4 linked regions of the Saccharomyces cerevisiae S288C genome follow. Changing the gene in region 3 together with the main gene of any one other region gives a genetic interaction. Each region holds a gene or a part of one and is shown on either strand. Other genes may lie near its edges.

The links.
Region 1: mutations in ATG16 (region 3) and UBP14 together harm fitness more than expected from each alone (negative genetic interaction), as found in Saccharomyces cerevisiae (2 studies listed by BioGRID).
Region 2: mutations in ATG16 (region 3) and PMT3 together harm fitness more than expected from each alone (negative genetic interaction), as found in Saccharomyces cerevisiae (2 studies listed by BioGRID).
Region 4: mutations in ATG16 (region 3) and YTA6 together harm fitness more than expected from each alone (negative genetic interaction), as found in Saccharomyces cerevisiae (2 studies listed by BioGRID).

The regions. Positions count from the first base shown.
Region 1 is NC_001134.8:351,253-360,094, forward strand, and holds UBP14 (ubiquitin-specific protease UBP14), read right to left. Parts: upstream 4,766-8,842; coding exon 2,420-4,765; downstream 1-2,419. Other genes in the region: MNC1 (Mnc1p), read left to right, coding at 3-203; MUM2 (Mum2p), read right to left, coding at 941-2,041; TSC3 (Tsc3p), read right to left, coding at 5,072-5,314; serine/threonine protein kinase AKL1, read right to left, coding at 5,609-8,842. UniProt on the Saccharomyces cerevisiae protein: Required for the adaptation to the presence of glucose in the growth medium; mediates the degradation of enzymes involved in gluconeogenesis when cells are shifted to glucose-containing medium.
Region 2 is NC_001147.6:914,104-923,083, reverse strand, and holds PMT3 (dolichyl-phosphate-mannose-protein mannosyltransferase PMT3), read right to left. Parts: upstream 7,055-8,980; coding exon 4,793-7,054; downstream 1-4,792. Other genes in the region: PRO2 (glutamate-5-semialdehyde dehydrogenase), read left to right, coding at 179-1,549; LDB19 (Ldb19p), read left to right, coding at 2,022-4,478; GNT1 (glucose N-acetyltransferase), read left to right, coding at 7,990-8,980. UniProt on the Saccharomyces cerevisiae protein: Protein O-mannosyltransferase involved in O-glycosylation which is essential for cell wall rigidity. Forms a heterodimeric complex with PMT5 and more rarely with PMT1 to transfer mannose from Dol-P-mannose to Ser or Thr residues on proteins.
Region 3 is NC_001145.3:573,316-580,453, forward strand, and holds ATG16 (Atg16p), read right to left. Parts: upstream 1,614-7,138; coding exon 1,161-1,613; downstream 1-1,160. Other genes in the region: YMR158C-A (uncharacterized protein), read right to left, coding at 1-16; CVM1 (Cvm1p), read left to right, coding at 1,751-4,201; type I HSP40 co-chaperone HLJ1, read left to right, coding at 4,403-5,077; aminophospholipid-translocating P4-type ATPase DNF3, read right to left, coding at 5,636-7,138. UniProt on the Saccharomyces cerevisiae protein: Stabilizes the ATG5-ATG12 conjugate and mediates the formation of the 350 kDa complex, which is necessary for autophagy.
Region 4 is NC_001148.4:414,063-421,612, reverse strand, and holds YTA6 (putative AAA family ATPase YTA6), read right to left. Parts: upstream 5,851-7,550; coding exon 3,586-5,850; downstream 1-3,585. Other genes in the region: guanine nucleotide exchange factor MUK1, read right to left, coding at 1-665; YPL071C (uncharacterized protein), read left to right, coding at 1,095-1,565; putative ubiquitin-specific protease UBP16, read right to left, coding at 1,602-3,101; transcription regulator GCR1, read right to left, coding at 6,251-7,550.

The sequences.
Region 1 (8,842 bases), on a different chromosome or scaffold from region 3:
CAATGAGACATCAATACTATCAACCACAACCGATGTATTATCAACCACAACCGCAACCTATATACATACAACAAGGGCCGCCGCCACCAAGAAATGATTGTTGTTGTTGTTGTAACTGTGGCGATTGCTGTTCAGCAATTGCGAACGTTTTATGTTGTCTGTGTCTAATTGATCTATGTTGTAGCTGCGCTGGCGGCATGTAAGCTGTGGTTTGCCTTGTAAGCTGTGGTTTGCCTTGTATCATCATGAACGCTTTTCTTCGTGGAGTAGTCTTCCTATATTGTTTCCGGTGGTTACCATCAAGATAATTTACACACACAAAATTTTCCGCTGTACGTTTGCGAGTGGCATAACGAATAATATGTATCCTATCATTTCAATGAATCACAGCTGAGCACATTTGAATTTTATTGTTAAATGGAATGCCGTTAAATGTATTATGTAATATCCATAAAAGTTCACACTGATTGTTCACTTTTATGAACCTCTAGGATTAAAAGTACGTCTTTGTTAATGAAGCCAGCAAAAAATGGAGAACATCAGGAACAAAGCGGCATAGCTTTGATCTTGCCTTGATGCTTCTAAAAAAATATATACGTTTGTAAGTATATACTCCAATTTTCAATAGTATTTTAATGAATAATTTTTATAAATAGAGGTAAGAGATTAGACACGTTATCTGGAGGTAATAACTAAGTAAATAAATAACAGCTACGTTGCTCTTTTTGGAAAAAGCATAAAACTCAGCCATCTAAGACAACATACTTAAAAAAGTAATAGTCTTTGATACATTCCTCGTGTAGGACAAAAGCAAAAATTCTCTTCCGTTTATTTTTCATGAAAAAAGCTTGTATCATATACACATATCTATATATTTGCATATTATTCTTTTTCGTTTTTTAGAATTAGCCATATGTTCTCGATAATGAGTAAACCTCTTTCAATTAGCAACGTCCTCCTTTGAAGACTCCTTTGAAGCCAAATGGGCTTCCAAAGATGCGATTTTTTCTCTTAATTCTAGATTTTCTTTTTTGGCCAACTGCAGTTCAATTTGGGTCTCTTTTGATCTGCCATATGCTAACATCTTGGCCATTTCTTTGTTCTCGTTTGTTAAGTTTTCTAATCTTACCACCATTTTGTGAGCAATCGATTCTGCATCATACCTGCCATACTTAGTCACTGAATTTGTTGGATTTAGCGCCAGTGCAGTTAATATACTTTCCAGATTTTCTTTCGTCTCTGCTAACTCCTTTTCCTTTGCATGCAGTGACGATGACAGTTTTCTGAATATCACTTCCAAGGAAGCTGGCAATTCGAAAGTTTGGGGTATATGGCAGTTTTCCTTCTCATACTTATGCTCATTCTGCTTGTAGTTTAGCCCCTCGTTGAAAATTTTCTTTAGCCTTTGAATTTCGTTCTCGAGTGATTCGATTTGACTTTCCTTTATTTGTAGTTCTACTTCCAATGCTTCCATTCTGTCATCTTTATTTGAATTCATCTCATTGCTGTTGACATTATTCATTGAGAGCGCTGTCACATGATTAAAAGGAACAAATGAATTCTTGAATGCCGTACTATTGATTGAGGTTTTAGCGGTCATATTAGACATTGATGACATCGAGTCATTAGGATTCCCATTAGTATCCTTGTTATTTGTCATATTATTCATTGGATCCAGCCAATAATCATTAGCAGTTGCCCCATTCATGATATTGTTATGATTGAGAGTATTTCTCATAGATGCTTGTGGTACATTCTGGTAATTATAGGTATTCATTGATGGGGGCATGTTGAAATTTGTTGTACTGTTCAAGCTATGTTGACCCGTTAAGGGACTAGCCGACGAACCTTGAGGAAGCATGGAATTATTCATTTTACTCGCCTGACCTAAGGTGTTCATTAATCCCGGCCTGGCATCGTTTCTTTCACCAGATTCGTATAGGGCTTGTTGCTGTGACTGTTGGTGGGGATGAAATGCCAAATTGTTAAAGGACGTTTCCAACGAATGTTGGGGATCATAATCATAAGCCATGTAATTCATTTTTACAACAGTATTCCAAACGAGCCGTGTATGCAAAAAGAATGAGGTCAAATCAAAAGATCAAGTACCAAGCCAGCTGATTCTCTTCTTACTAAGTTTGACTATCGTTTACATTTCTTGCTTGTTGTTTCATCAAACAATGTACTCTTTTCTTGTTTTAAATGATTTTTTAGCGGCGAAGGTAACAGCAGCAAAAAAAAAAAAGAAAAAACATTGCAAAATAGCTAATGGAAATGGATTTATTACTGAAATATGTAGAAATATTTAACTCGATAGATTTGATCATACACATATAATGCAAAATATATATATATATATATATATATATATATATATATATATGTGTGTGTGTGTGTGTGTGTGTGTGTAAACGTTCTTTTAGCATCTTGTATAGAAATAAATATAACCATTTTTTTTCATATCTTCAATGCTGTCGGCAGCAACTAGTTTCTCATCGTTATAAAGAACCCACTTCCATTTGTCTGCCACTAGTTTACGAATAAAAACAACATAGTGACCAGAATGGACAGAATTTCCCTTATGACAAATAACTGCAGTTAAAGCGTACGGTTTAGCGGTCGAATATCCAAGATCCTTTTTTTGTTGCTGTTCTTCATTTGGCACTTCAGGTTCGGGAAATGTTCCATCATCATCCATGTTGTTAAATACCCATTCAACACTACGATTAACATCTCCGTTGTTGAGTATCAAGGCTTTACGACATAAGTTGGGATTTAGTCCCATGGATAACATTGAAGTCAATGATACCTCATCCACTTCTCTCTTATCTTTCTTGGGGACATTAGGAGGCGGGACAAAGGGATCATTTAAATCAGGGTCATCCATATGCTGGAATAGCCAATTCATAGCGCTCTCAGCGTCTTGGTTTCCGGTGTTAAATAGGGCGCGCACGCTAGCATTTTGAGTAAAGCCCATTTCAATTAATTGAGAAATACTGCATTGGTTTGGCGTAAAAGAGCTACGGTTTTCGTCCTCATCAGGCAATAAGTTTTCAGTTTGAGGATCAAATCCTTGTGATAAATAAGACGAAACATCTAGCATATCATCCCTGTCTATTAAACCTGGTAAAGAAAGCTCATTACTTGTCTTAACAGGAATCCAGTTCTGTAATCTAATCCTTATTGGGTTCAAAATAAGTGTTTGAGGAAGAGATTTGAAACCAGGTTTTTTATTTGCGGTAACCTTTTCCTTACAATTAGCACATTTAAATTCAATCGTCTGCCCTTCAAAATACGCCTTGATTCTCTCTAACATATCTTGAGGTTCATCATTCTCCTCTAAGGGAATCTGTATAGCCTCTGTGGGTTCATAAGAATATTTAACCTTCCCGCAAATGTTACATTGGAGCCTATCCTCCATCATAAATCTAACTAAATCGTTGGGATTTGGAATACCTGAAGAACTACTTGAAAAAAATTTCTTGTCTAACAAGTCTAAAAGGAAGGTTAGAAATTCCATCGCATCCTGTTGTCTATTGGAACTGAATTCCTGATGATTTTGCCCAATGCATTTCTTGAAAGTAGTAGGTTTGATACCATTTGGATATAGTTCGGGTTCACATTTCATGGCATTGAGTAGCTTGATCCATTGGCACTTTAAATTATTGTCCGGATATACAACATCCAGTGGAAATTTACTTCCTAGAAAATCCAAGGACCAATTCGGGACGCCACCATTCACCAAGCTTTGTATAACCGAATTTAAGTAACAGGAATTACCCAAATTGATCAGACCACAGCCATAATTCTTACTAGCGGATAATTTTTCAAATTCTTTACCGCTAGAATCGACCATTCTAAATTGCCAATTTTCGTTCTGTTCCACTTGTAATTGAACTAGAGTCTTTTCATCCGCAATCTTTTCTTGTATGTTAATTCCGTATATTTGTAGTGCACTGCCTAAATTAACATTATCTGGAAATCTAGTTTCGTCGTCACATGCGTAACAATACAGATCATAGGTTGAAGAGCTTAAAGACCCTAATTTGATAGCTAATGGGTGATTATTATTACTCCGATAATGATCCAAAGCATGCGAGTGACCATCAATCCCGATTTGTTCCCTGCCACATCCGATATTACCACAATGTAGGCATAACCAGAGATTTTGAGTCAAATCACAGGAAGAGCATTGGTTTAAATTCACAGTATTTTCGGGCTTAGATGGAATTTGAAAGTTTTCTGTATGTGGACAGGTGCTGATTTCTAACACCCAGGAGTTCTTCTTATCCTCGAAGTCTTGTGACTTCGCCTTTAATATCTTTTCAATCTTCTCCAAGGCCGTAGAAGAAATGTCAGAGTCTGTCGACTTCGAAAGTACGGTCCTGGGAACATTTTCACCATTGAACCTTTGTAAACTCCAAATAGTGTTGTGGGTGTCGTCTTCTGACGTCTCAATTACCTGTAGCTTTATTTTTTTGTTGTTATTATTTTCTTCTACATTTTCTTGCTTAGGTTTCTCCACTTTAGCAATAGTTAAATAATTGGAATGTATGGTATCGCAAGCATATTCTGTGACTCGGATATGGAGTGGAACATGTCTGTTGCACGTAGCTTGGAAACAGTTTAAGCATATATTCAATGAATGTTTAGGTGATGCATTGAGGGCCAATGGTTCATTATAAGGGGATTCAAAGCAATAAATACACTCATCTTTTGAAACGACTGCAGGAACGTTAACGTTTTCTAGTACTGCTTCTGCCATTTCTGAATGTGAGAAAGACTTCGGGCTCTCTTTTTGGATGAATTTACCTGTCATCTCTACTGCCATTGCAAGTCGCTTTTCACTGTGATTTCATCAAGTGATAAATTTGATCTCATTCCAAACGATGTCATTTTTCAAAGGCACATCAACTGTTATAAATTATATCCTATAGCCACAAGCAATTATTAGTTTATGTATTGTGTGTATATTTATGTAACTCTATCCTCCATGATATCCTCCTAAATTTTCTGTCCCCTTGCCTCCAGCTTATACTATTATTAACCGAATAAGGATATAAATAATCATTCAAAGGAAGCAATACTTTAGTATACCGAAGAAACTCAAACTGAAAATTGTGAGAAAAAAAACATGGAGGAAGAATGAATCAAAAGAGGCCATTAAATAAAAGGGTAAATGTATGTAGTAGGTCCAATAAAGCTTTTCCACCACTTCTTCAATAGTATTTAGTATGCCTTCTGATTTCCCATTACGTCTTTTAGCTTCCTTAGTGGTGGGTATGTACACCATCGAGCTTTTATGTTGTGTCATTTCTTCCCCTTATGATATGTTCCACCTTTGTTCTTCCGGTTTCTACACTCTTTATCTCTAGTACTTTTAAAATGGTGTCATTTCTGTCAAATTGCGAGCACTATTACTCTTCACTTAACCGCTTCTCGTTAAGCGCGTCAGGAGTAAACGTCATCTCGCACGATATGCTTAATGCATATGATTTGAGTTACTATTGTTCTATCAATTTAGTTTTTGAGGAAGATATACGGATTGTCTGCGCCTCTATATGTAACAATGTATGTATATGATTTTATATGTGCTCTATTTATCGAATCATTTCTCGCTTCTAAAGACTGAGAAAAAAGATCTCCTTTTCCCGTTACTGCCACCACTACTGGATGCACTACTTGCCATCGCTTCACGACGGACCCTTTCCAAATCAAGCGATTGACGGGCCCTAGCGAAGGATTTTCTCATCTCTGATGGAGTTGAGGTGCTAATAGTAATGCTGCTATTGCTATCCTTATCCTTCGAATGCCGGTATCTTTCCAAATCGTGCCTTTGCTTGGAACCAGTCCTGTGTGTTTCATGCTTGCCATTTGACCGGGTTGACAGTTCGTGACCAGTACTGTGGCGCTTATTCTCAGTTATTGCGGTGGAAGCATGAGGTGAAACTCTATACGAGTGATGTGAATTTGGTGCTGGCGAGTCGTTTTTATTTCTATGCTCTTGAGTTAACGTTGGTGAAGACAGATTTACTTCCTGGAAATTCAGATCCAATGACTGCCGCGGTTGCCTTGTTGATACGCTGCTGAAGTCCTTGCTTTTGAATTGATTAGACTTACTAGCATCACTTGATCTTGCCTGGTCTTTATGACCTCTTTCATTATGGAGTGGTCTTCTTTCAGCTGTTTTTCCTCTCCTTGCATCATCCAAATCAATATCAATGCTTTCGCTGGAGACCATACTATCTCCCAATTCGTCTGTTGAATAATTGTTCCTCTTACTGGAACCTTTGCGTCCAGAAAGCTTAGCTTGTTGAATTGATGCAGACGATGAAGACGATGAAAAGGAGGAGACAGCAGCACCAGTATCATCTCTTGATAAGTCCATCTCATTCAAACTTAAATTTAAAACGCCATTTCGATTATTGTTCGAGCCTTTGATAGTTCCTGAACCGCCGGCATCTTCGATACCGCCAGTTTGAGGCTCATTTGTATCTTGGAAAGATTGCTTTCCTGCATCTTCTTTTAATGGAGATAGTTCAATTAAGAGAGCTTCATTTTTAGAGGATGAGTGCATTGGTTCATTTGCAGAATTTCCTGCAAGAATTGGAGGTTCACCCCCCTGAGCATTTCTCATATCTTCTGTGGTATGATTTGTTCTATCAGAGACGTAAGTACCATTATTATTTGCATTTTGAATTTGCATTTGCTGTTGGACTTGCAGTTGTTGCTGAACTTGCATCTGCTGCTTGGCTTGCATCTGTTGCTTTGCCTGCATCTGTTGTGCCTGCAATTGCTGGGCTTGTATCTGTTGCGCTTGCTGCTGATTCATGGAAATAACAGGTCTCACCATTGGAATTGCTGGGGAATTTTGACTTGGGAGATATCCTGACTGGGAGTTCGTGGCGTAATTTTGAGAAATATTCTGAAAGTTGACTCTTCTATTACCACTATCTCCAGCAATAGTTCCACCCAACTGCATAGGTTTATTGGACCGATCCCTCCCAGTGTAGAAATTTCTTTGGCTATAATTAGCAGGTCCTTTGGGTTGGTCCTGTTGTTGCTGCTGTTGTTCAACTCTAGATTGATACTGAGATTCATCTGGAAAGGTATTCCCTTGTGTACCTGTTTGATTTTGAGCTTGCTGATATCTCTGGCCTTGCTGTTGTTCTTCCAGGAAAAAGTTACTTGCGTCATTGCTCAATTCATTCGTAGAATGGTATGCAACATTCATTTTTGGAAAGGGATTATTCGATTTATGTTGTTTCATCTTATTAATACCAGCAGTTTTCTCGTTCGCCAAGGCTTCGTCTGACCCGATCGTTGCTGCACCATATGATGTGCTCTTCATTGATCTGCCACCTGAAGAATAAGAGCTTGTGCTCTTTTGCCTCTGTGGTAGTGATTGGGTATTCAAACGAGGACTTTGTTCAGAAATAGTCGGATCACTTGATTGTTTGACCAATTCTTTGTCCAAATAAGTATCTAATTCGCTCACGCTTGGATAATATAACTCTCCAGGAGTTTTATTTTCAAAAATTGATTTGTCCTCTATACCTGGAGACTGGATTGTATTGATTTCTTGAGGATTATTGGCTGTACCAGAACTGTTAGCATTCGATGTTGTTCTTGACGATTTATCTTCGGACAGGGTAGACTTCCTCTGATCGGATTGACTTTCTTTCTCTTCTTCAAGTTCTTGGCCGACATTTTGAGATGGTATTCTAGAAACAGCGGCATGACCGTCACTAGCGTTCATGGGAAGTTTGGATGAGATTTCAAAAGAAGAAAGAAACATGTCATTCAGTAAGTTTTCTTCTGAGTCACTCAATTTATTGTTCTGCATAATTTTCTTTTGTTGTAGCTGGTACATTTGCAATTGAACATTTTGTAATTTATTCTGAAACTGCGTATATTTAGAAAAATTATAGGCACCTTCCGCATACTTATCCTCGATTGGAACTTCCACATTTAAAATCTCACATAAATGGTATAATACTTGATAAATGTTCGGTCTCAAATTTGGGTTTTCCGCCAACATGATAATGATTAAGTTGATTAGTTTTGATGAATATTTGTTGACAGGAAATTCATATTTGGAATGTAATATAGCAAATTGACCTGTCATTTCAAAAGGGGTGGTGAAAAATAATAATTTGTAAAGGAAAACTCCCAAAGCCCATATGTCTGATTTTTCGTTAATGGGCAGACATCTGTAAAGGTCAATCATTTCAGGGGACCTATACTGCGGAGTAGTATGCACATAGATGTTTTGAGTCAAAAGAGCAATATCTTGATGAGTAGTGACAATTGGGAAACATGTCGACGTGGACCCAAAATCAGCTAGCTTGAAATTGTTTTTGGCATCTACCAAGACATTTTCAATCTTGATATCGCGATGGATCAAGGACACAGGAAGGTAGTGCATTTGAGAGATAGAAAGAGCAACGTCATACATAATTTTCACAATTTCAGCTTCTGTCAGTTTCGTTGACAATCGTTGGTTCATATAATCTAGCAAAGATTTGTTTGGACACAATTCCATTAGCAAAAGAACCTCAAATCCTTGAACGCCATCACGACGGCGAGAGGCGTTGGAATCGAAGTATTGTACTATATTTGGGGCCCCTTTCAATTTCTTCATTACCTCCACTTCATTTCTCATCTCGTTCAATCCATTCTCATCTTGAACTAATACTCTTTTCAGACATGCGACATCGCCAATCTTTAAGGGAACACTTGCTGTATTATCAAATTCATTAAGATACTCTAGGAATTTCACCACGTAAATTTGAGCAAAGCCACCTTCTGCTAAATAATTTACCACTTCAACTTTATGTGT
Region 2 (8,980 bases), on a different chromosome or scaffold from region 3:
GGAAAGGCGATGCAGTGGCCAAATTTCTTTGTTCATTTGTGGCGTTGGGTCAATGAGTCAAAAAATGAAAAAAGTCGACAGACGTTTTTCAAAAAGCTTCAAGAAAAGAAGAGAAAAAGTAAAAGCGTATTGGTAAAAAGAGTAAGAACAAAAAGGAGCACAGGCAACCAATATAAAGATGTCCAGTTCACAACAAATAGCCAAAAATGCCCGTAAAGCAGGGAATATTTTGAAAACCATCTCAAACGAGGGCAGATCAGATATTTTATACAAAATTCACGATGCCCTGAAGGCTAATGCGCATGCCATTGAAGAAGCGAATAAAATCGATTTAGCTGTTGCCAAAGAGACTGGCCTAGCGGATTCTTTATTGAAACGTCTCGACCTATTTAAAGGGGACAAATTTGAAGTTATGTTACAAGGTATTAAGGATGTAGCCGAACTAGAAGACCCTGTTGGCAAGGTTAAAATGGCCAGGGAATTAGATGATGGCTTGACGTTGTACCAAGTAACCGCTCCAGTCGGCGTTTTGTTAGTTATCTTTGAATCCCGTCCAGAAGTTATTGCCAATATTACCGCATTGAGTATCAAGTCTGGTAATGCTGCAATTTTGAAGGGTGGTAAAGAGTCTGTGAACACGTTCAGAGAAATGGCAAAGATCGTTAACGACACCATTGCACAATTCCAAAGTGAGACTGGTGTTCCTGTGGGCTCTGTGCAATTGATCGAAACCAGACAGGATGTTTCCGACTTGTTGGATCAAGATGAGTACATCGACTTAGTTGTTCCTCGTGGTTCCAATGCCTTAGTCAGAAAAATCAAGGACACTACAAAAATTCCCGTGTTGGGTCATGCGGATGGTATCTGCTCAATTTACTTGGATGAAGACGCAGATTTGATTAAGGCAAAAAGAATTAGTTTGGATGCAAAGACTAACTACCCAGCTGGTTGCAACGCTATGGAAACGTTGTTGATTAACCCAAAATTCTCTAAGTGGTGGGAAGTTCTGGAAAACTTAACTTTGGAAGGCGGAGTGACTATCCACGCTACAAAAGATTTGAAAACTGCGTATTTTGATAAACTGAATGAGTTAGGGAAATTGACAGAAGCAATTCAATGCAAAACCGTTGATGCTGATGAGGAGCAAGATTTTGATAAGGAATTTTTATCCTTGGATTTGGCTGCCAAGTTTGTTACATCTACAGAATCGGCCATTCAACATATAAATACACACTCTTCGAGACATACCGACGCTATTGTAACGGAAAATAAAGCAAACGCTGAAAAATTTATGAAGGGTGTCGACTCCTCTGGTGTTTACTGGAATGCATCAACTAGATTTGCCGATGGTTTCAGGTACGGTTTTGGTGCTGAAGTGGGTATTTCTACCTCTAAGATTCACGCCCGTGGTCCAGTTGGCTTGGACGGTCTGGTGAGTTATCAATACCAAATAAGAGGTGACGGCCAGGTTGCTAGTGACTACCTTGGTGCTGGTGGTAACAAAGCTTTTGTTCACAAGGATTTAGATATAAAGACTGTGACATTATAAAAATTTTTAGGATAAAGCTAAGTTCCATGTATGAAGGACGTGTATACATAGTTCAGTAAAGCCATCAAATAAGTACTCTTGTCAACTCATTCTATGGTGTGATAGTTAATTGCTTACTTGTATCGCTATTAACGACTTTTTTTTTCTTTTGGCGGAAGCTTCAAGACAAAAATGCGATTTGAGCTGACTCGAACACTTATTAAACCAGACGGAAAAGCACGACTCATACATATCATAGGCAGTTTTTACTAGGGCTCCGAATACTTTGAATAATAAGGTTGATTAAGTTTGTGTGCTTCATCCAATTAGCTTTCAGTTTTCCTTATTTAAGCTTCTGATTTCGGAATCAAAAGTTGAGCAACGTTATAGCTTGCTTTTTCGGAGGAGAACGCTGTTGTTCACATTTCAACACCAGAAATTGCTGATTTTTACTCCTACTTAGTATACATTTCACTAAACAATACGTTTTACCATGGCATTTTCACGTCTTACATCTACTCATCAGTCCAATCATAACGGCTACAGTAATAGCAACAAAAAAGGACAAAGTCTTCCACTAACCCTTTCTATTGATGTAGAATCACCGCCATGTGTTCTTTATGGGTCTGCTATGGAATCCTCAGGTGCTGTGCTAAGTGGACTTTTTACTGTGACGGTTGTCGATCCCTACAGTAGTGCTGAAGATAAATCTTTAAAGAATACAGAATCTAATGTGTCGACTACTTCTAAAAGCCTAAAAAGAAAGAGTACATTTGGTTCTGCACTTTCATCTAGATTGTCCAGCTTGTCAGCGTCGACGTCAAATATCTCTCCTTCAACATCTTCTACATCCATATCGCATTCTCCCACGCCTGCTAATTTAAGAATAATGGCTGGTTATACCAAGATCACCATTACGTCGGTAACACTAAGTTTGGTACAGAAGATCCATTTCCATAAACCCTTTGTGCCTAATATTTCCTCAATGCAAACCTGTATGAACTGTAAAACAAAGATTACAAACATGAAAAGCTGGGAAATTCAGAGTAATACCCAGGATCTTTCTGTTGGAAGCCACTCTTACCCATTTTCCTATCTTATACCGGGGTCTGTCCCATGTTCTTCATCGCTAGGTGCTACGGCTGAAACCCAGGTCAAATACGAACTTATCGCTGTTGTGACGTATATAGATCCTCATAGAAATTCCTTTTCTTCCGGTCATTCTACTCCCAGGAAAGAAGGAAGCTCTTCTAAGAAGCGGTTGTTGCAACTAGCGATGCCCATCGCCGTGACTCGAAGTATACCGCGCGGGCCTGATAAGAATTCTCTAAGAGTATTTCCTCCTACAGAGTTAACTGCTGCTGCTGTTCTTCCTAATGTTGTATATCCTAAATCTACTTTTCCTTTGGAGATGAAATTAGACGGTGTTTCTTCGGGGGATAGGAGATGGCGAATGCGTAAATTGAGTTGGAGAATTGAAGAAACTACAAGAGTTAAAGCACATGCTTGTCCAGTGCACAAGCATGAATTGAGGCAGTTAGAAGAGCAGGTTAAAATAAAAGAGTCAGAAAAAAGTAAAAAGCCACGCAGTCATATTAAGCGTTATGGTGAACTAGGCCCACAAATCCGGGTTGCAGTAAACTCTTTAGAAAATATGCCGTCGCAAAGGCTTCCAGGCGAGCCCGGTCGTGAACAAGCACCTAATTCTTCGGGTCCAGCGTCAACTGGTAATGTTGGACTTGATGATGAAAATCCTGTTAATGAAGATGAGGAAGACCAACCCGGTAGCGAATTCATCCATCCCAGTGACGACGCTTTGCGTCAGGAGTTACTAATGCAGCAACAACGCGCAAGACAACAACAACTTCAACAAGAGCTAAAAAACAACAGTAGTTTATTTACGGAAGAGGTTCGGATAATATCTAAGGGAGAAATGAAGAGTGGATGGAAAACCGATTTTGACAATAATGGAAAGATTGAGCTAGTTACAGAAATAGATTGTATGGGACTTAATTCAGGCGTCTCTAATCCGGTAATGCATGCATCGACACTACAAACTCCTTCCACGGGCAATAAGAAGCCCAGCATCAATGTGGCTTGCGATATACAGGATCCAAATTTAGGTTTGTATGTAAGCCACATCTTGGCAGTGGAAATAGTTGTTGCAGAAGAAACATTGCAATATGCCAATGGGCAACCTATACGGAAACCAAACTCCAAAAACAAGAAAGAAACTAATAACAATACGATGAATGTTCATAATCCTGATCAACGCTTAGCTGAATTATCTCCAATTTTTGCAAATAGAAATACACCGAAAGTACGGCGCATGGGGCCTGAAGATATAACACCGGTGAATAGTAATAAGTCCAACCATAGTACTAATAAGGAGAAGGCATCTAACGGTGCTAGTAACTCTAATATAGTGAGTGTTCCCACTGGTGCAGCACGTGTTTTAAGAATGCAATTCAGATTAACAGTCACTGAAAGATCTGGACTTGGAATCTCCTGGGACGAAGAAGTTCCTCCCATTTACCAAGATGTCGAGTTGCTCTCGCCACCATGTTACGAGCTCTCTATAAATAATGGAATCAAAAATAAACTTTATTCAACAATGAGTACTCCTGTTAGATCAGAGGATGATTTTGTGGGCGGCAGCGATGAAGATATTGGGAACTATGAGAGCCAAGGGCTCGAACCTGGTCCTAACGTACAGGAAGTAACGATCACACAAAATAAATTAACGATACCACCAACCGCACATCACTACCAGCCTGCTTCCTCTTCGCAAAGATCCCTTACCACAGTACAGTCACCACCACTGGAAAGTGTTGTTAGTGTCCAGGGTAGTGTACCTTTTCGTGGACATGTGTTGACACCACATAGCACAAGAGATATCAGAATACAAAACTTTTCCGATTTTCTAGATTCCAATAGAATAACCCAGTAGATTTTATAATATTCGTTAAAGGTATTTACCATATATTTTTATCTTAGATACCTGAAAACTACAAATCTGATCAATAAGCAAACCCTGACCATGATTTGATGCATTTCACAGATAACTACATACAGGCATTGTTTAACACTTGAGCATTTTTTTTCTCGTATTTTCTTAAGGCTGGACTGGATTAATATCTTCATTTCGTCGTAGGTACATAGCTTTGTTATGATAAAGAAGAAGGCATAAGTCGAAAAAGATATTTCGCGCATCAATTAACATTTTTTGTGTGGTGAAGAAAAGTTTTTGATCATTCTATATATCTATGTGTTACGTATATCTTCAACAATCTGCCACGTAGGTAGCCATGCCAAGTACGCGTAATCATCTACTGGACCATCCATCCCAAAACTAAAAGGAGAGAAATAAAAAAATCCAGCGATCACGATTGATCCGTATACAATATAAGCTCCTAGCCTTAGAAATTTTCCAGTGTTTCTTGTAGCCCAACGTTTGGTAATCATATCGAAGTAGTATGACAAGATCATTAAGGCAAAATAAAGGGTGGGCAGATAGTGGTGAGCGTATACAACTCTTGACATCACTACGAATGGCATATAATGTAAAAGCCAAGCAAGCAATGGATAAAAGGCTGCCATAACGAACACGTCACGTTCGACTGGATCGGATAGGATAACACATTGTCTCTGCCATTTCAGAGTTAAGAATATAACGTGTATTATCAGTGCGCAAACTGCGATGCTTGAGGGCCAGACGGACGCAGGAGATCCTAATAAGAAGTACTTTATAGATTTTTCACTCCATTCGCATAATCTTACCCCGACGTTCAAGGTTGGCCATTGCCAGGCAGATGAAGCTATACCATCAAACTTTTCAGGGTTTGGTACCAAAGCATTATTGGTTGCCATCATTGCTGAATTTAACTGCATGAAATTCCTGAAGAATGAAGTCTTCGGATATACGAAATCTTCTCCCTGTGGCAATCTTTCATTTTCATGTGTTTCGATATTCCACCAGGTTCTCTTATCCCTTTTGGAGGCGTGTTTTAAACAGACAACTTCACCTTGCCTGAAACCCCATTCTGGTAAATGTTTACCTGACTGAGCTAAATAGCAACCCAGTATAGAATTTTTAATACGGAAAGATGTGGATAGCGGGTGTAGTAGTGTTGGATCTTCTTCCCCTACTTGTTCCACGATTTCTATAATCCAGTTATCTTTGTAGTCACCTAAGTCTACATCTCCGTAAGCAGAAACTTCATATTCACTTTTCGATATAGGCGCTGGGACTTCATGGGTGTGTAGATTCTTGCCTGTTAGGCGATGCATTAATCTATACATTTCGCCACCCTTTACAAACTCAATTGTCTTGTTCTCAGCATCAGTCCAAGGCTCTACTCCTCTGATTCTTTGAAAAAACCATTCATTGTTAGCATCACTGTAACCATAGACAGTTACTTGCTGTTGCTCAGAACCTTCTGGGAATGGTTGGACATGAGAATGTAATAAAGCGCCTCCCAACGCTTGATTTTTGATGGAAATAATAGAAGAACCCAAAGCAACATCACGTGGTCCCTTACCAACTTTTGTACCGTTCAGACTGGCTTGAAATAATGATGGCATGGTAGAGTCGCCGGGCCCTGAGTTGGACAGCAGATCAAAATGGATTTTGAAGCATAACAAAAAAACGCAAACAGGAATGATGATAAGCCCGAATATTCTTGCTAGCCAATGGTTGACATAAACCTTCCAAGACACCGATCTATCACTTAGGAGATTCCATAGTTCACTGATGGTGTAAATTCCTACTACACTGATGATGAAAAGACCTACCATTTTCACAGATATAGCGCAACCCAAATTCAACCCAGTGAGGCACAACCATAGCCACCACCTAGCCGAAAAGGGAGACTTTCTCATAGTATGGAACTTGGCAAGGCAAAAGTAAGAAGAGACGGTAAAGAAAAGTAGCATTGAATCAAGGAGAATGAACTTGCCTAATGTTGCATACGAATTCTCAAAAATTACTAGAATGGTAAATAGCCAAACACTCAGCCTAGAAAATCCGATAGCCCTTCCTGTGAAATAGGCTAGTGGCACACACAATGATGAAAACATTGCTTGAAATAACCTCATTTTCACATAATCGATATAGTCGGGATAAACCTCACCAGATGGGAAGTCCCAAGAACCATTGTAGCCAGCCAAATAACCAGACAGTCCAACAAGCATTTTACCTAAAGGTGGATGAACATCATGGTAAAATTCGTGTCTCAGATAGTAAGAGCCGAACTTACCAAAATGAGCTTCATCCCAGACCACATGATTATTACGACCAATCTTGTACATTCTAGTGAACATGCCCAGTACCGTGAAAATGATCGGCATAACTATGGTATCCAGGTGTGATACTGCACTCTCGTTCTTGACTTTATCATACAACTCGGCATCATCCTTTAAAAAGTTGTCAGCATCCTCGAGTTCCTCTTTTACTATTGGCGTTCTCCATATCAAATCATCGTCAGTACTTTTTTCACTGTAGCCCGTCGCCACTCTGTACGGCATTGTCTGTTATTTTATTTGCCGGTATTTGGAGCACACAAATATTTGTTTTACTCTTATGTCGAAAGGAAGAGTTGGAATGCCCTTCTTTAGAGATTTTCTATTGTACACCGGCCAGGTGGCCTATTATATTTGCCTTTCCTCGCGTCGCGATTTTCAATTAAAGGGCGCGAGTGCCTAATCTAGATCTGAGCTTTGTTCTTAAACGAGTTCTTACAGGGTGGTAACTCATTCATTCTTTACATATCCATTTTCGTTAACGCAAACATTCGTCAAGTCATCTGGAATACTAACCCGGGACAGGTTCCTTTTAGCTGTAATGCCTCTAGGATGATTACTATAAAGAAATGTAACATACTTACAGAAAAGGGAAGTATTCTCTTAACAAGGCAGAAATTAAGAGAATACTACTTAGGAGAGTAAACCTGTTGAATTTTTAAGCCGCAGTAAACGTTTGTATTCCTTAGTTATGAGGAAGTTCAAGTAAACAGATTACTTACTTTTTTAGTAACATCCGGCAACCGTACCAGAATTATTACATTTATTCCAGAAGCATTTTCAAAAGTTTATTGCATTGGTATTCATTGGTAAGATCCATTCATTTGGAGAATATGCTTATGATACTTAAAAATTGGAAAAATAGCCGCCATCAACGTTTTAGGGTTGCTCAACATTGGCGTTTAGGGTTTTGATAAAATGTAGGGCTTTTTAAAATATCACTTGTATACTCTCTCGTTCCGCTCAGCACGCGACCGTTTGAGCAAAACTAGCATCTGGTACACTATAAACTAGTGCTCGGTTCTCGTTCATTAGTGATGATCGTACTGTATCAGGCTGGTGGATTAGTCGAAATCACCGGGAAACAAATACCGACCACTTGTGGACAACATTGTGACATTATTTGCTAAACTGTATACTTCGGAACTATCATTCCAATTATGAGGTTGATATCCAAAAGAAGAATCAGATTTATTGTGTTTATTTTGTTCGGCGTCCTCACTGTATTCGTAGTATCAAGACTTGTTGTTCATTTTCAGTATAACCAAGAAATAAAGTTCTATAAAAAGTATTTTCAACAGAGGAAGGATGGGCTTCACGAAATTTACAACCCATTAGAAATCAAGCAAATACCCAAGGAAACGATAGATGACTTATATACCGCCCGTTTAGATAAAGAGTTGAAAAACGGTGAGGTCATCGAGTGGTCCAAGTTTGCATACGTGAATTATGTGACTAATGCTGATTATCTTTGTAATACGCTGATCATATTCAATGATCTGAAACAGGAGTTTGAGACAAAGGCCAAGTTAGTTCTTCTGATATCTAAAGATCTGCTAGACCCAAACACTTCCTCAAATGTGGCTTACATTAGTTCACTCCTTAACAAGATTCAAGCTATAGATGAGGACCAGGTAGTTATCAAGTTGATAGATAACATTGTGAAGCCAAAGGATACTACACCTTGGAATGAAAGTTTAACAAAATTACTAGTATTTAACCAAACAGAATTTGACCGTGTGATTTATCTTGACAACGACGCAATTTTAAGATCAAGCTTGGACGAATTATTTTTCCTACCAAATTATATCAAATTTGCAGCTCCATTAACATACTGGTTTTTATCTAACAGTGATTTGGAAAAATCATACCATGAAACGCGACACCGTGAAAAGCAACCAATCAACCTCCAGTCGTATACAAAAGTGCTGACTAAAAGAATTGGGAAAGGTCAGATGATTTATAATCATTTGCCGAGTTTGCCGCATTCATTGTACTTGAATTCTAATAACATAGCTCAGGACATTATAAGTTCTACATCATCTTTATCGCCGTTATTTGATTTCCAAAGTAGTAAAAAGGTTGGAAAATTAAAATTTGCTTCTAATTTAATGGTTATTAATCCTTCAAAGGAGGCGTTTGATGAAATTG
Region 3 (7,138 bases):
GATAGTTCATTTTCATTCCAACAATTGTCGTTAGAGATCGCTACATAATCAACCTTTGCACTTCAGCTTCCATTAAATCTGATTAATGCTTCTTAATCTTTAAGCCATCTTCTTGCACCATAAATAGCAATGAAACCATTTAGTCTTCTATTTTCCACTTAAAGAACCAGGTTTTTGCATTTCAGCCATCTTAAATTAGACGACGGTTTAATTTCGGTGTAGTATCATAAAATTTCGGCCATCCTTCGACTCACGTATAATGATGGCCTCAGCGAGAGGATCAGCAACAAGTTACATCCACAATAATACGCGGAGTTATGAGATATTACAGTACCCTCCCCAAAAATATAAGGTTTACCGCAAGATCGTATCAGGAGAATGAACGGGTCTCTTAGTTTTTATCCACTATTCTTTCCACTCACGCCAATATACTAACCAATTGAAATGCTCATAACCAGAATGAACAGGCCGCATGCATTCTTTAGCCAACTTTCGATGAAAATACCCACTATGCAATGGTAAATTTCCGAAACAAAAAATTATACTTCAGTGTTCCCACAAAATAACGATATGTTTCTTTTCATTTTTCAATGAAAGCATGATTTTTTCCCTTCCAATGCCAAAATGCTAGTCCTATAAATGAAAAAAAAAGCTTTCTGCTATAAGAACAGCAAGGGGCATTTCAACTTACACATAATAGAAGGTGAGATAAAGACCATCGTGAATCCTAATAGAAACTGCGGGTTTCTTAGGATCATGGGTCGCGCAAAACCGCCAAGTTTACCATCAAAAAGCTACAAAGTTCAATTTACCCAATAGAATTCTAACGCCAAAGATTTGTAGTGATTCATATGAAATTTTCTTTATGCATCCAGTTATTACTATTGAGTTTCTCTCAAGATACATTCTCCAAAAAAAAAGCCTGTTCTCGCACAAACGACCTTAAGAAAGGTTTAAAACAGCTGTCACATTACATTATAGTAGATAAAAACACGAATGGCATTTTCTTAACTTGCAGGTGTACTCTCTATAGCATGTTTAACATATTTTCACCTCTTTATTGCAAACACTTTGGCGTTTCATATTCTGTCCATGTATATGCACCACAATGATTTTATTTTCTTTTGTATGCATTTTGTGACGATTTGACAACTGATGCATCATTTCGTTCCATCTATTTCGCTGTTCATGGCTTCTGTCTCTTTCTCTGTCTTTTTTAGCCATCTCGCAACTAGCTGGGAATGTTCTTTTTTCAGATCCGAGAGTTTTTGTTGTAAAACATTATTTTCAATGGTTCCACTAATCAATTCGTCATTCAACCTTTCCGTATTCTTATTTTTCAACGCAATAACTTCTTTCAATCTTCGTATTTCTTGCTCCTTACTTTTCAGTTCTTTTTGTAGAATTGCCAGTGTATTCAATAAAGCATCGTCATGGCTGACAATGTTGCCACCAATGGCGCCACTATTATCTTGAAACAACTCATTTAAATGGGCCTCCTTGTCGTTTCGATCTGTTAGTCTACGAATTAACAAATCATCCATGCTATCTGTTTGTGGATTGCTTCTTTCCTCCTTTGCTTTCTTCCTTTCTGTTATAATGAAATTGCCCATGGAATATGCGCCCTTAATACAGATTCGCGCAGGTTAATAACAAAAATCAACGTTAAATAAAGGTCAACTACAAACAGAATAAGTAAAAGCGAGCAAGTGTAGTAGCAATTTAGCACAACATATAAAACGCTATTATAATGGATGTTGTGCAGCAGAAACAGGATAAACAGTTGCAGCATCAAACACAAGAGCAGCAGCAGATACGAGAGGACCAGCAGGAAGTCCCACCCCAACGTCCACGACAACAAAACAGATGGAAACCCTGGTGGAATTCCACTGCCGACGATGAGCCAAACACGGGAAGAATTGCAGAATATCCTAATGGACAAGGAAGGAGTAGTCCGACAACGGATTTTCAAGATAGCGTGAACTCGAATAATGACAATAAAGGGATATGGTCTAAAATCGCTTCTTTTGCAACATCCAGATATAGAAGTGCCCCAATTGTTGTTGATGATAATACCCGCTACTCTCAACTAAACACTGAACAAATCAACTTCTTGGAAAATGAGGCTAAGGATATAATTTCAAAAAAGTCGAAATCATGGTGTTGGTACGAAGCAATTCCACATATATCAAATTCATCAAACATAATTGATTCCATAGATACCCCAGGAATAATCAGTGTCTCTGGTACAGGATCAGCCAAATGCCCATTGCCATTAAACAAATATCCTGGGGAGGGAGGTAACCCTGGGTATAATGTATTTATTAATGATTCTTTAATCCTACCATCAGATAACCCTTTGAATTTTCTGCACGTCCAACCACTAAGAACTAAGGTATTGAATACTATCAAAAATTACTATAACTTCCCTAATGAGCAACATCTCTATTTAAGACAAAAAAAAACCGCATTACTGAAGGATAAGAGAATTATTATAATATCCGTCGTGGGGGATTTACCAGAAAAGTATGAGCAGCGCTCATTAGAATCACAAAGATCGGCTTATTATCTTTCTAGAAAATTGTCACAAAATCTAGCGCAAGAACAACCTCAAAGAGTCTTGACCCTATCGTTCCAGTGCCCACTGCATAATCAAGATTTAATACCTACATATAAAGAATGTGTAGAGTTACTGAACCACTGGGCTCATCTTTTCAAAGAGGTAGATTCAATTTTTTTTGTGGGCGTTTATCACAGCGTTCCCTTAACTTTGCTATTAGCGAAATATATCGTGCAAAATAATGAAGTTCTAGAGTTTGATGAAAACACTACAGTGAGTGTATTGAGTTTCCAGTCATGTTTACAAGGCTATCGATTTTGGGACCACAGCACTGACTTTACTAGCAATAGTTATAATAACTTGGGTTCCAATTCCAGTACTAACGAAAATGATAGTAATGATCATGATTCAAATAATGATTTCACAACGAAGAGCCAACAAATCAAAGAAAAACAGTTATTTCAGGGCATTGACAAAAAGCAACAAGACACATTATCTAAAATCAAAAATTATAGGCGGATAGATTCTAGTGAATCTAAACTAGTTCAGGATGCATTGGATTGGCTCTTGTTCAATTGGGATACGTTTCGACTGACATTTTTTGGTAAGCTTTATGATAATTTTATGACAATTTCAGAAAAACTTGCTATAGATTATAATCACCCTAAAATCTTGAGAAATTTATGGTGCAATGGGAAGTACATGGGCATTGATTTAAAGAATGCTAATAATTTAAACCTTGATACCGATGATGAAGCAACTAGTAACATTAATGACGTCCATGTAAGGACCCCTAATTTTGAATCGAGATTGAAGATTCCCACCAACAGACTTTTCGAAATAACCTTATGGGATATTTTGATGATAACGGAGAATTTAGGATATAAACAATTTATTCCCATAATTAATTTACTAAGTCCTTTTTTTATTTCAAGGTCATTTAATGATTACACATTGCCTCCAAATATTAGGAAACAGTACCAGAACAGCAACAAAATCTGGCTTCAAGAAATGGACAGTAAGTGGAAAATGAATGGTCATCAACTCAATTACGACCAAAGGGAGGGTGAAAGTCTCGGTTCATCATCGGAATCATTATTGCCAGAGAATATTTCTACGGTAAAGGATTTTTTGCAGTTTGTGCAGTATCAAAACGAAAAATCTTCGGATTTCGTAAGGATATATTCAGACATTTATGATGACGATAAAGTCTATAAATGCTTTCTGTACAATACAATATTCACGAAAAACCCATTAAGTCGTAAGCATTTACGTTTAAACATCGACCTCGACACTCCTACAAGCATATTGAATACTGTCAATCAATATGATTTGGTATGGAAAATTCATGATTCCTTCTCCAAATTGATTCAATTGAAAAATTTACCGCAGCGAGAGATACCACATGCGTTGAGGCTCTCCATCTCATTAAACTGCTTCTTGGATAGTACCACGAGTACTTCTGGCCCTGTTTTTCAGAGGGACACCGTGGAAGCTTTGAGAAGATTAACAGAGATTTGGCGAACTTACCAGGATTGGTCTCCACCAACAAGGGGTTTGAAACACCTACGTGATATCCTGAGCGTTTTAGCCATGTATGACAACCCCAAAAACTTGATTAATGATGTTCGACGTACATAGTAGATTCGTATATAGCGGACCGCGTAACATATTATGGTATTTGTATAGTGGGTAACCCGCAGAGTAGGCTGGAAAGTATTCGTGAAGAACATAAAGGAAGCTGGCAGAAGTTCTTTTCATACACCTCTACTTCCAGAAGCCATAATAGCAGCAACGCTGTTTCTGCAATATAACTTGTGGAAGGTCTATAATAGGAAGAACATGTCTTTCACTGAGGATCAAGAAAAAATCGCGCTAGAAATACTGTCAAAAGACAAGCATGAGTTTTACGAAATTTTGAAGGTAGATAGGAAAGCCACAGATAGTGAGATCAAGAAGGCATACAGAAAACTAGCAATCAAATTGCATCCTGATAAAAACTCTCATCCAAAAGCGGGAGAAGCTTTCAAAGTAATTAATAGGGCATTTGAAGTACTAAGCAATGAGGAAAAGCGCAGTATTTATGACAGGATAGGTAGGGATCCTGACGATAGACAAATGCCATCCAGAGGTGCTGCTTCAGGGTTCCGAGGAAGTGCAGGTGGGTCTCCAATGGGTGGCGGATTTGAAGACATGTTTTTCAATTCACGTTTCGGTGGTCAAAGAGCTGGACCACCAGAGGACATATTCGACTTTTTGTTCAACGCAGGCGGCAGCCCATTCGGCGCTTCACCATTTGGGCCTTCTGCTTCCACTTTTTCATTTGGAGGCCCCGGTGGTTTCAGAGTTTATACTAATAATCGTGGTGGCTCACCGTTCATGCGTCAACAACCCCGCTCAAGACAGCAGCAACAACAAGCAGAAGAAAATGCAGTGAATTCGCAATTAAAAAATATGCTCGTTCTTTTCATCATCTTTATTGTTCTTCCTATGATTAAAGATTACCTGTTTAGTTAAACACAATATTTTTACTGTCATTTTTTTATTATTTTCCAACGTTAGTCAAAGTTGTACTATAAAATAAAACTACAAGGAGCAAGCAAAATTGAAAAAACGCATTTGTATACTAGATGACATTTAGGTCATTCCTTCAGGCTTCCTGGCTATGTTTTATTTTGTTCCACAGTTTACCAGAAGGACATAATGGTATTAGAATTTTAATATATCGAGGAAATTAAATCAGACAGTATAATACTTATAAACATCTTTATTTTCTGATAACTAATCATAGCATTTACGCCATACATTTACTTTTTCTTTTGACACCGAAAGTAATCAAGCCACTTTTATAATTAGAGTTAGTTTATAGATAGTATTTAAAATTTGTGAAGATTTCCCATGCGTTGTGCCTTGCTTTCTCTCAAAATACATCTTGTTAATTTTCTAATGTGTGGATGCCGAAATAATATTCGACTCAACAAATCAAGTAAGTCTTCTAAGCTCGCTACTAATTTCCAATAAAAGGTATATATATAAAAATGTTCTCAATAATGTAATTAAACAAGATCACGAGAATTACTCCAGATCCTTTAGCCTTGCCTGAATAATCTGGTTCACATCTTCATCTTCCACATTCCTCGATGGAAGCTTCAGTTTCTTCGTCAGTTTAGTAGTTATATTGCCGCCAATACTGTCTTTACTGCTTTGTGTTTTCAAGGATGGTCGCTTGATTAACTTGCCACTAGGTAATACCTCGTATCGTTCAGAGCTCTTTTTAGAAGAGTTTCCAAAGAAATTTTTTTTTGAGGAATGGTCTACATTCCCATTTGACATTGAATATATGCTGCTGTTATGAGTTTTTGCACTTGCACGTGAATTAGTTCTTGGCCTTGAAAGAACTTTGTCTGTGTACCTTGTGAAAGTACTGGGATCTTTATCCCACGTCCATCCTTGCCTCATTTCGCTATAGGCTCCTAGTTCCAGCTTCTTTCTGATATCACTTTTTTGTTCCAGCTCAGCAAAAATATCAGAATCTGATGGCCATATCATAACTTTGAATGTTTTGTAAACTATATCTAAAGTGATAGGTAACAGTGCCAACACCAAGCTAGTACACCAGAATGTAATGTCTTTACCAAAATGATTGTAAAAGCCATATGCTACATCATATATTTGGTCAGTATTATTCAAAATAGGAAGGGCACAACACCACACTAACCAACCTCCACAGGATAGAACTACAGAAGTAAAAGCCAGCCAATTCCTATTGTGCATTTCAACAAATTGGGATTTAACGTTAATTAAGGCAACAATGGCTGTGAAATTGATGAGACCTAGAGGATACATAGTGTTATCTGAAAGAGAACTCATACCCCACATTACAACATTTAAAAATGTAATGATAAGAGAATTCGTAGTTGCCAAGATAACCCACTCCATGAATATTAACCAATTAAAACCTTGTGAAAGGCGCCCGTACGAATATAATTCAGGGACTGTTAGTAGAGTCATTGGTTTCAAGTCTTTCTCAAACATACCAATACATAGAACCGGTAGTGATGTGAATAGAGTATTGAACATGGACAATGACCATGGCTCATATAGAGAGGAGCCTGAAAACATTGTATATCTTTGATATATCAACTGCGTAAAGTAAAACGTAATTTCTTTGTAAAACGTGCAAAGCATAAACTTGGAGGTGCGAATATAGTTATAACGCCCATGAACAAATAACAATTTCAAGAGAAACCGAAATTGGCCAATAGAATAATCAGATACTCTAGATGCTTGCAATCCCTCCTTACCGGCTATTCCAACACCTATATCGGCAGATTGTATCATGGCAATATCATTCGCACCATCACCTATTGCCAACGTGACTAAGTTTGGATCGGTATTTCTTATGTTGGAAACCATAAGGGCTTTTTGAGAAGGTGAAGCACGGCAACATATTACCGAGTCTGTTTTAGTGCAAAGCTCAACAAATACAGACATGTATGTAGGATTTCCTTCAAACATGGCCATCGTGGCACCGTCAATTACAACAACGCAGTGTGCTATGTTTCCGGAATCAACTTC
Region 4 (7,550 bases), on a different chromosome or scaffold from region 3:
TCGATTTTCATGTTGTTTAATTCGTTGATTTTCAATTGCTTTTTTATCTCTTCAGGTGACAACATTTGTGTGGCATTAGTTGAATTTGATATTGACTCATTACTGAAAAGCGATGAAGATCTTCTTGGCCTCATAAGTGAATTTCCACTACTACTCCTACTTCTGCCAAAAATTCCGCTAAGACCACTACTTAACGTTTCTTTGGCAGCCAAGAATGAACTAGAGCCCCCGCCAGAAAAATAATAGCCATTATTATTCGCTGAACTGACGTGCTGGAATGATGCTTTATCAAATTTTATGTAAAAGCTTTGGAAAAGACTAGACAATTGCAGTACTGATAGTGGCCGTACGTACTTTGGCTGCTTTAGGTCATCAATAAAAATGTCAATTAATTTTGATAATTCTGGAGGTAAATTGGTGACAGTGTTCAACGCTTCGTCAATTTCTTGTTTTGTCAATATAGGAGACTTATTGTTTTCTAGCCTTTCTCCTGTTGTAGAGTTTTCATCACCATCACAGCTACTTCTCTCATTGTCATTTTGATCCTCATGTAGATTTTGTTGAAATTGCATGCCGCCAGTTGTGTTCTTGTATGATTCCCTGATGGATTGATTAGGGTCAAACCTTGGATTGGTTATCGGAGGAGTGAATAATTGTCTAGCCATTTGACTTTTATTGTTAGAGGGCGTACTTCTTTTTTATCTGCTCTTCTTCTTGGCTTCTAAAAATACCTTTTGCTCTAAGGGGAATGATGATTTTATGAGTGTCTATAAAGCCAATTCTCTTTCTGCCCAAGATATTAAACACCACACCAATCCGAACAAAATTCAATAGACGAACAACAGTAAGTTTTAATCTATTTTTGCTTCAATGATGCGTTTGGTTGGGTCTTTACTGGAAATCAAATAAGGCTCGGTTATTTGCACACTTTTTTATCCGGGAACCGCTCTTTTACGAAAGCAAATTTCAAAATGTATGTAATACGAAGGCATTAAATTATTCAACAACGGCGCTCGGATATGATTTATATTACACGTCTAGAACGATTAGCAGATAGTAAAACTAGTGGCACGTTTAAATGACTTTTTCATTCCATGAGTTCCCGGTTTGCAAGAAGTAATGGCAATCCCAACCACATTAGGAAAAGAAATCATTCTCCAGACCCAATAGGAATTGATAATTATAAAAGAAAAAGACTAATTATAGATTTAGAGAATTTATCCTTAAATGATAAAGGGCCCAAGAACGGACATGCAGATGATAACAATCTTATTCATAACAATATAGTATTCACAGACGCTATTGATGATAAGGTCCTGAAAGAGATCATCAAGTGTTCCACAAGTAAACGCGGCGACAATGACTTGTTTTATGACAAAATATGGGAACGTTTGAGAGAAAAAAGGCTACAAATAATAAAATGGGTAGATTATAAGGAAATTGCTTATCTAAGCTGGTGGAAGTGGTTCCATAATCAAATGACTTCGAAATACACTTATGATGGAGAGGCTGATACCGATGTTGAAATGATGGCAGTGGATACTGATGTGGATATGGATGCGTAACTTACTATTATTATAATATACCTATGTACAGGGCGGTTATTTATTTACACGTTCGTAGTATAGCATATAAGCATATTTCTGTTCATTCAAGACAGTTGAAGCGGTAGATTCCTTTATGGCGGTATCAGATATTTGCCAATAAGGATACCGCAGGGCGTTTTTGACTTTTTTATATCTGCTTTTTTTGTAATCATTATGTGCAACGTTTTGCTCGCGATTCTTGTTAACTTCATTGTTGACAACTGGTGCTCTTCTGAAGGAAGATTCATCCTCCTTCCCGAAACGAATTTCAGTCTTGCGTCTGTAACACATATAGTGTCCACTCGAATGAGAACCGGTGTGTTTCACAACACTTTTCAAATTATATTTGACTTGCCTGTTTTCTGTTATTGTCCCACTCTCAGCCAATGTATATTCAGAAAGTGTTATTCTTTCTCCAAATTTGACATTGCAGGGATTTCTAGAATATGTAATACCATTGAATGTGGATCTCGATAAGTGAACAATTAATATGTCTGGCAGTTGTACTACTACATCTTTTTTGATGACCTTTCCCTTTATATTAGATACCTGCAAATTGCCCTTTGAGTAACGCTTGACGTACTGTTCTACTTCGAATGGTAAATTTTCGTTAATTGGGGCTTTAGTGGCATAATTTTTCAATCTGTCCAACATTAAAATTTCATCCGGGGTACAGTCCTTGAAATTTCTATATTCTTCATGGTTTAAGATTGCTCTTATTTGGCAGATCAGGCATGAATAGTCGTCTATGATTTCTGTTTCATCGTGTGCTAGAATATTGGATAGATTCTCTGATGTTTGTTGTGGTACGGACAGTTCGCGGATGAAAGTCTGTTTGTATGATGGTTCTGATAGACCCTTGCATTTAAGGCATACTAGAAACTTGGAAGTCTCGCCCTCAAATGGAAACTTTGGTATATTCAAATTACATATCTGTTTACTGTAATCGATCAATTTTGATCGTTCTTCCTGTAATGTTTGTAGTAATATTAATGTAAATTCATGTGCATCATTTTGTTTGGATGAGATCTTTGATTTAAAGATGGACTCTAATGTGTTTATCACTATTTTCGGAGAAATTGACGTCTTACGATCTTTTACAGATATCAAATCCAAAATTAAACTGGTAAGACTTTCGTGTAAGGGGGCAAGTGAATTAGACGAGTTTTCAAGTCGACTATGCCTTGTAGTGTTATCAACTGTAGGATTGTCGCCTTTTGCATTATTTGACAGCTTAGTTTCTAATTCTAGAAGGACCGTTCTTATCCGTTTCAAATATTCTACAAATCGAGGTATTCCAGCCAGGCCTTGCAAAGATGATGTTATGAAGCAATCATTCCCACGATTAATTAAGCCCACTGTCGTGTACTTCCCAATACTCTGCTTAGAATCCCCAAAGACTAGCGCACTTAGGCTGGGTGCAATGGCATATAGAGAAGCAGCAATTATCAAACCACATGAAACTTTTTTAATCAGTGAAGTCGGAGATTCTGTTACATTTTTTATCCAAGACATATTGTGCTTGTAGTAACTGCTGTACCTTGCATATACTGTTTGGGCAGAAGGAGAAGGTCCAATTAGTTGTTGGAGGGTATGGCGCTAACGGTCAAGTGTTTTATAGCTGGACTTTGCTTTCCCATTAACTCAAACGTGTATATAAATTGAGATTGAAGAAGAAACTTTGAATCTAGGTTAACTGGGTGCTATTGATTTATTTTTTTTATTTCACCCAAGTATATTATTTTGTTTTCTTTTTTTATTTCATTTTTTTGGGGCCAATATAGTAAGCAAAAATCCGGAGAACTGTATTGAATATCGTTCTGAGAAAACTAATTGTAAATAAGAAAGAAAAATATCAAATCATAAGGGAACCGAAGTTAGTTTTTCTTTGATAATACATAGAAAGTACATAGGTAATAAAATTAGATCAGAAGCAAGAAGTTGAAAGGGGAAAATTCCTTCTCATACCTTTCTTTGCCATTAAGACGCTCCCTCTCGTTCAGGAACCATTACTACCGAATTTACTAGACCACTCCTCATATTTTTGTAGAGATTCTGACGACACGCTCTTTTTTATTGTCAACAGAGCATTCTGAAAATCTTTTATTTCAATTCCTCTGATTTTATCAAAATCCGCAAACATCAACTTATCTCCTAAATCTCTAATAGGTTCCATTGCCGCTTCTTTGGCTAATGACGTAAGATCAGAACCAGAAAACCCCTCGGTCATTTCTGTTATTAATTCATAGTCTAAATCTTGCAGGCTATTTTTCTGCTTGGCCATTAATCTCTTCAAATGATATAGTCTAGTTTCATAATCTGGTAAAGGAATGTATAGTTTCCGTGAAAATCGTCTTCTTGCTGCATCATCAATCGCCCATGGCAAATTCGTTGCTCCTAAGACAAGTACTCTGCTGTCAAGCGTATTATTTCGGTCTTCCGATTGTGCAGTAGCACTAGATAGGGAGGACCACTGAATAAGAAGTTCTGTTTTAATTCTCCTCGAGGACTCATTTTCATTATCAGAGCGAGCTGTTAACATAGAGTCAATCTCATCTATGAAAATAATTGAGGGTGACAATTTTTTGGCCATGTAAAACAATGCTCTAACCAGCTTCTCAGATTCACCGAGGTATTTCGATAGCAAAGAAGATGCACTTACACTAAAAAATGTGGAATTGGACTCTGTCGCAACCGCCTTAGCAATCATTGTCTTACCTGTACCTGGTGGGCCGAACAAAAGCATACCTCTAACAGGTTCTCTTAGCCCTTTGAATAAGTCAGGCCGCAGAAATGGGTAAACCACTGCTTCTTTCAAAGAATTCTTCGCATTCCGTAAGCCTGCGATATCCTCCCAATAAACTTTTTCATCCGTAACAAGAATTTCATTAAGTATCTGTTCACAAGCGTTTCGATCTACTCCCTGCACTGATTTTAATATATCCTCCTTTCTGGAATCGAGGGATGAACTAGCAGAGCTTTCCTTATCGGGTGTACCACTTTTAGAACGCATGGGTTTGGATTCAGCAGGTACCGCTGTCGCTGAAACGAGTACTGGTGAACTAGGCTCCAAATTTTGCTCATTCCTACGAGAAACTTTGTTAGTATTGGATTTACTAGCCTTCAGCTTGCTATTTGTGGGTATATTCCGTGAAGACTTGCTGTTTTGCCTGTTAAGAGTAGGTGATTTTATAATCGGTCGATTAACTGTTGGCTTTTTGTAGTCATACCTTTTTTTCAAAGGTGGTGTTGGCTTATAACGTATCTGAAGTTCATTTGAATGCGATCCGTTGTTACTCACTTTTGAATGATTTGCCCCGTTTTGATACTGAGACCAGGCTAACTGCGCAGCCATACCTATTTCTGCTGCCTCCATTGATTTTCTTACTGGCGTTCGTACTCTTTCGCCTGAAGTCCGTACAACGTCAAGTGATCTTCTTTTAATTAGGGAGTTGTCAATCTTTCCAGAAGATTTGCTACTGGAAGAGAAGTTGTCGAGGCTAGCCCTTGATTTGTAATTTGTTTTCCTCTCATGTTTCAGGGTTGATATACGTTTTTTCTCCGCTTGTTCTCTATGTTTGCGTTCTTCTTCCTCTCTCTTAACTCTCTCCTCCTCCAACTTTTGGGCCACTTCAAATTCGACCTTTTCTTTAACCTTTAACTCGATCAATTTTTCCCTTTGAAGTTCTAAGTCCCTCTCATACTGAAGTTTTGCTCCTAACTTTTTCTCTTCTTCTAATTTCCTAGCACGTCTGATATTATCAGCCTGTTTGTTGATTTTAGCCTCCTTTTCGTCAGCTTCTTTCAATTTATCTCTTTTGGAACCCATTCTCCAAAGTTTTGGAAAACGCAAACCATTTCCTGTCCCAAGGCCCAAAACGGAAGAGGAGGATGACAAAGAGGGACTACCGTTTCCTTCGGCCATAAGCGTTTCTGCTTTACGACGTGCGATCCTTATATCCTGGCCAAGAATTTGGAAATCCTCAATGATGCTCCTCAATTCAGGATGATCAACTACAAGATTTCCTAACCCTTTCTTTAAGGTATAAGTCTTTTCAATTTTTCGTAGACCTTCATTGACGTATACCAGTAAAGTGTCTAAGTTTTTGTGGATTTTCCCATACGTTACTGTGTCCTTATTACCTTTGCTATTGATTATTAGGTCTGCTAGGTTTTTATATTGATTTTTGACAACAGAGTAAAGCAATTGCAAAGACTGCGCTAATGTGAAGTTCTCAGGTATACTAAACTTTTCATGTGCCATTATCCTAGACTTTTTTGTGTTCCCTCCTCGGACTTTTCTTCACCCAGGGTCTTACCTCTTTTGCTAATGAGATTAATGTTTTTTCCATCTTTCAAAATTTCGGATAGCCCATCTATCCAGCGGGTTTTCTCAATTCGCCAGGGTCTTTGACAAAAAAATTAAGTTTTCGTAACCCATATAGTCAGTCATGAGAATATATATTTAGTCGTTGATGGAAAGACATTTAGGAATTCCCACATAGGCATACATCCGCATAGGTATGTACACACATAAATCTATATAAATATTAAATAAGTATATATATTTTCTATAAAGGTAGTAATAACCTAATGACATTTCTCGTTATCGTCGCTTCGTTATTTTGTTGAAGGAACTATTGTCGCGGACAACCTCAATAAACTTAAGATGGTGTATTATGTCGCCTTTTGCAATACTTTAATTTCTCTTCTTCTGTCATTGATCTAACGTTCCAATTTTTAAAGTTTTCAAAAATACAAATTTCCTTGTTATTTTTCGTTAAATTTCTAAAGTACAATGATAGAGAATTCAGAGTCAGACCGTTATTTATCCTGAACTTTTCTAGGTCCCCTACTAAAATCTTCCGTATATCCTCCCTCGGTTGTTGAGGATTAGTAAACCTGCCGAGTTTTATGCCACGATCACATTCCGTTTCAATATAATCCATAATAATTCTTCTAGTAGGAAAAAAATGTGAATCTTCGCTAACCTTCCACCTTCGCCAGCCATAATTTTCAATCAATTTTTTTATTGAAGATTTACCGTTCAGACCAATATACCACTCCGCATATAGGTCCCATATTGTTTTATTTTCTCTGGACAGCTTGTATTTGATTGCCTCGTTTGGCCCCGCCTTCGTATCCTTTTTATTTATAATTTCAAACTTAGAAGAACTCTGCGGAAATGATGGAGCTGTCTTTGTCACTGTACCACTTGAATTTGCAGCCTCAGTAGAATTATGAATATTAGAAATTGGTACTGGTTTGTCAGCATCCGTACCAAGCGGATTACTGTTTTTACCATTTTTCTCAGGATCTTTCGATTCTGGGCTGTTATCATTGGGCTCCGACTTACTTGACTCTGGCGGTTTCTCCCTATCAACATCATCACCAGCTACCTCGGTGGGACTTTCAGGCATGCTAGTAGTGGAGTCGTTGTTTGGAAGACGAGGTCGTTCAGCTAGTTTTGAAGAAGATGATGGAGAATCTTCATTTACCTTCTTAGAGTTATTTTCCGTTGTTGAACTTGAGCTACCACCAACTACAAAATCTGGAGAATGCTGAAACTGCTGAGGTGAGCGAAAAGATTCCGTGACAGCTGTGTTAGCCAACGTCGAAAGGGGTAATCTAGGGCTTGAAATGGATTTTGTAAGTAAGGAATCAAGAGCCGTCTGAGACGGAGTTGGTTTATCGTCTAGTTTAAAGCGTTTGCTATAGGGAGACTCACCAACGGGTGATGGAGAAAAAGGACTGCCTGTTGCTGCAGAGGCTATTGAACCTGGTAACGGTAGCTTCCTCTTCTGTACTATATCTTGCGGTTGCGGAGCCAAGGTGCCAAGCATCGGCTGTATAGAATTACTTAAGCTCGGGAACATGTTAATTGGCGCTAGCGCAGGGCTATTAGTACTTTGAACCTGTGCATGTGATTGTCCTTTCGGACCCCTTTGATGTGTTTGGGCTTGT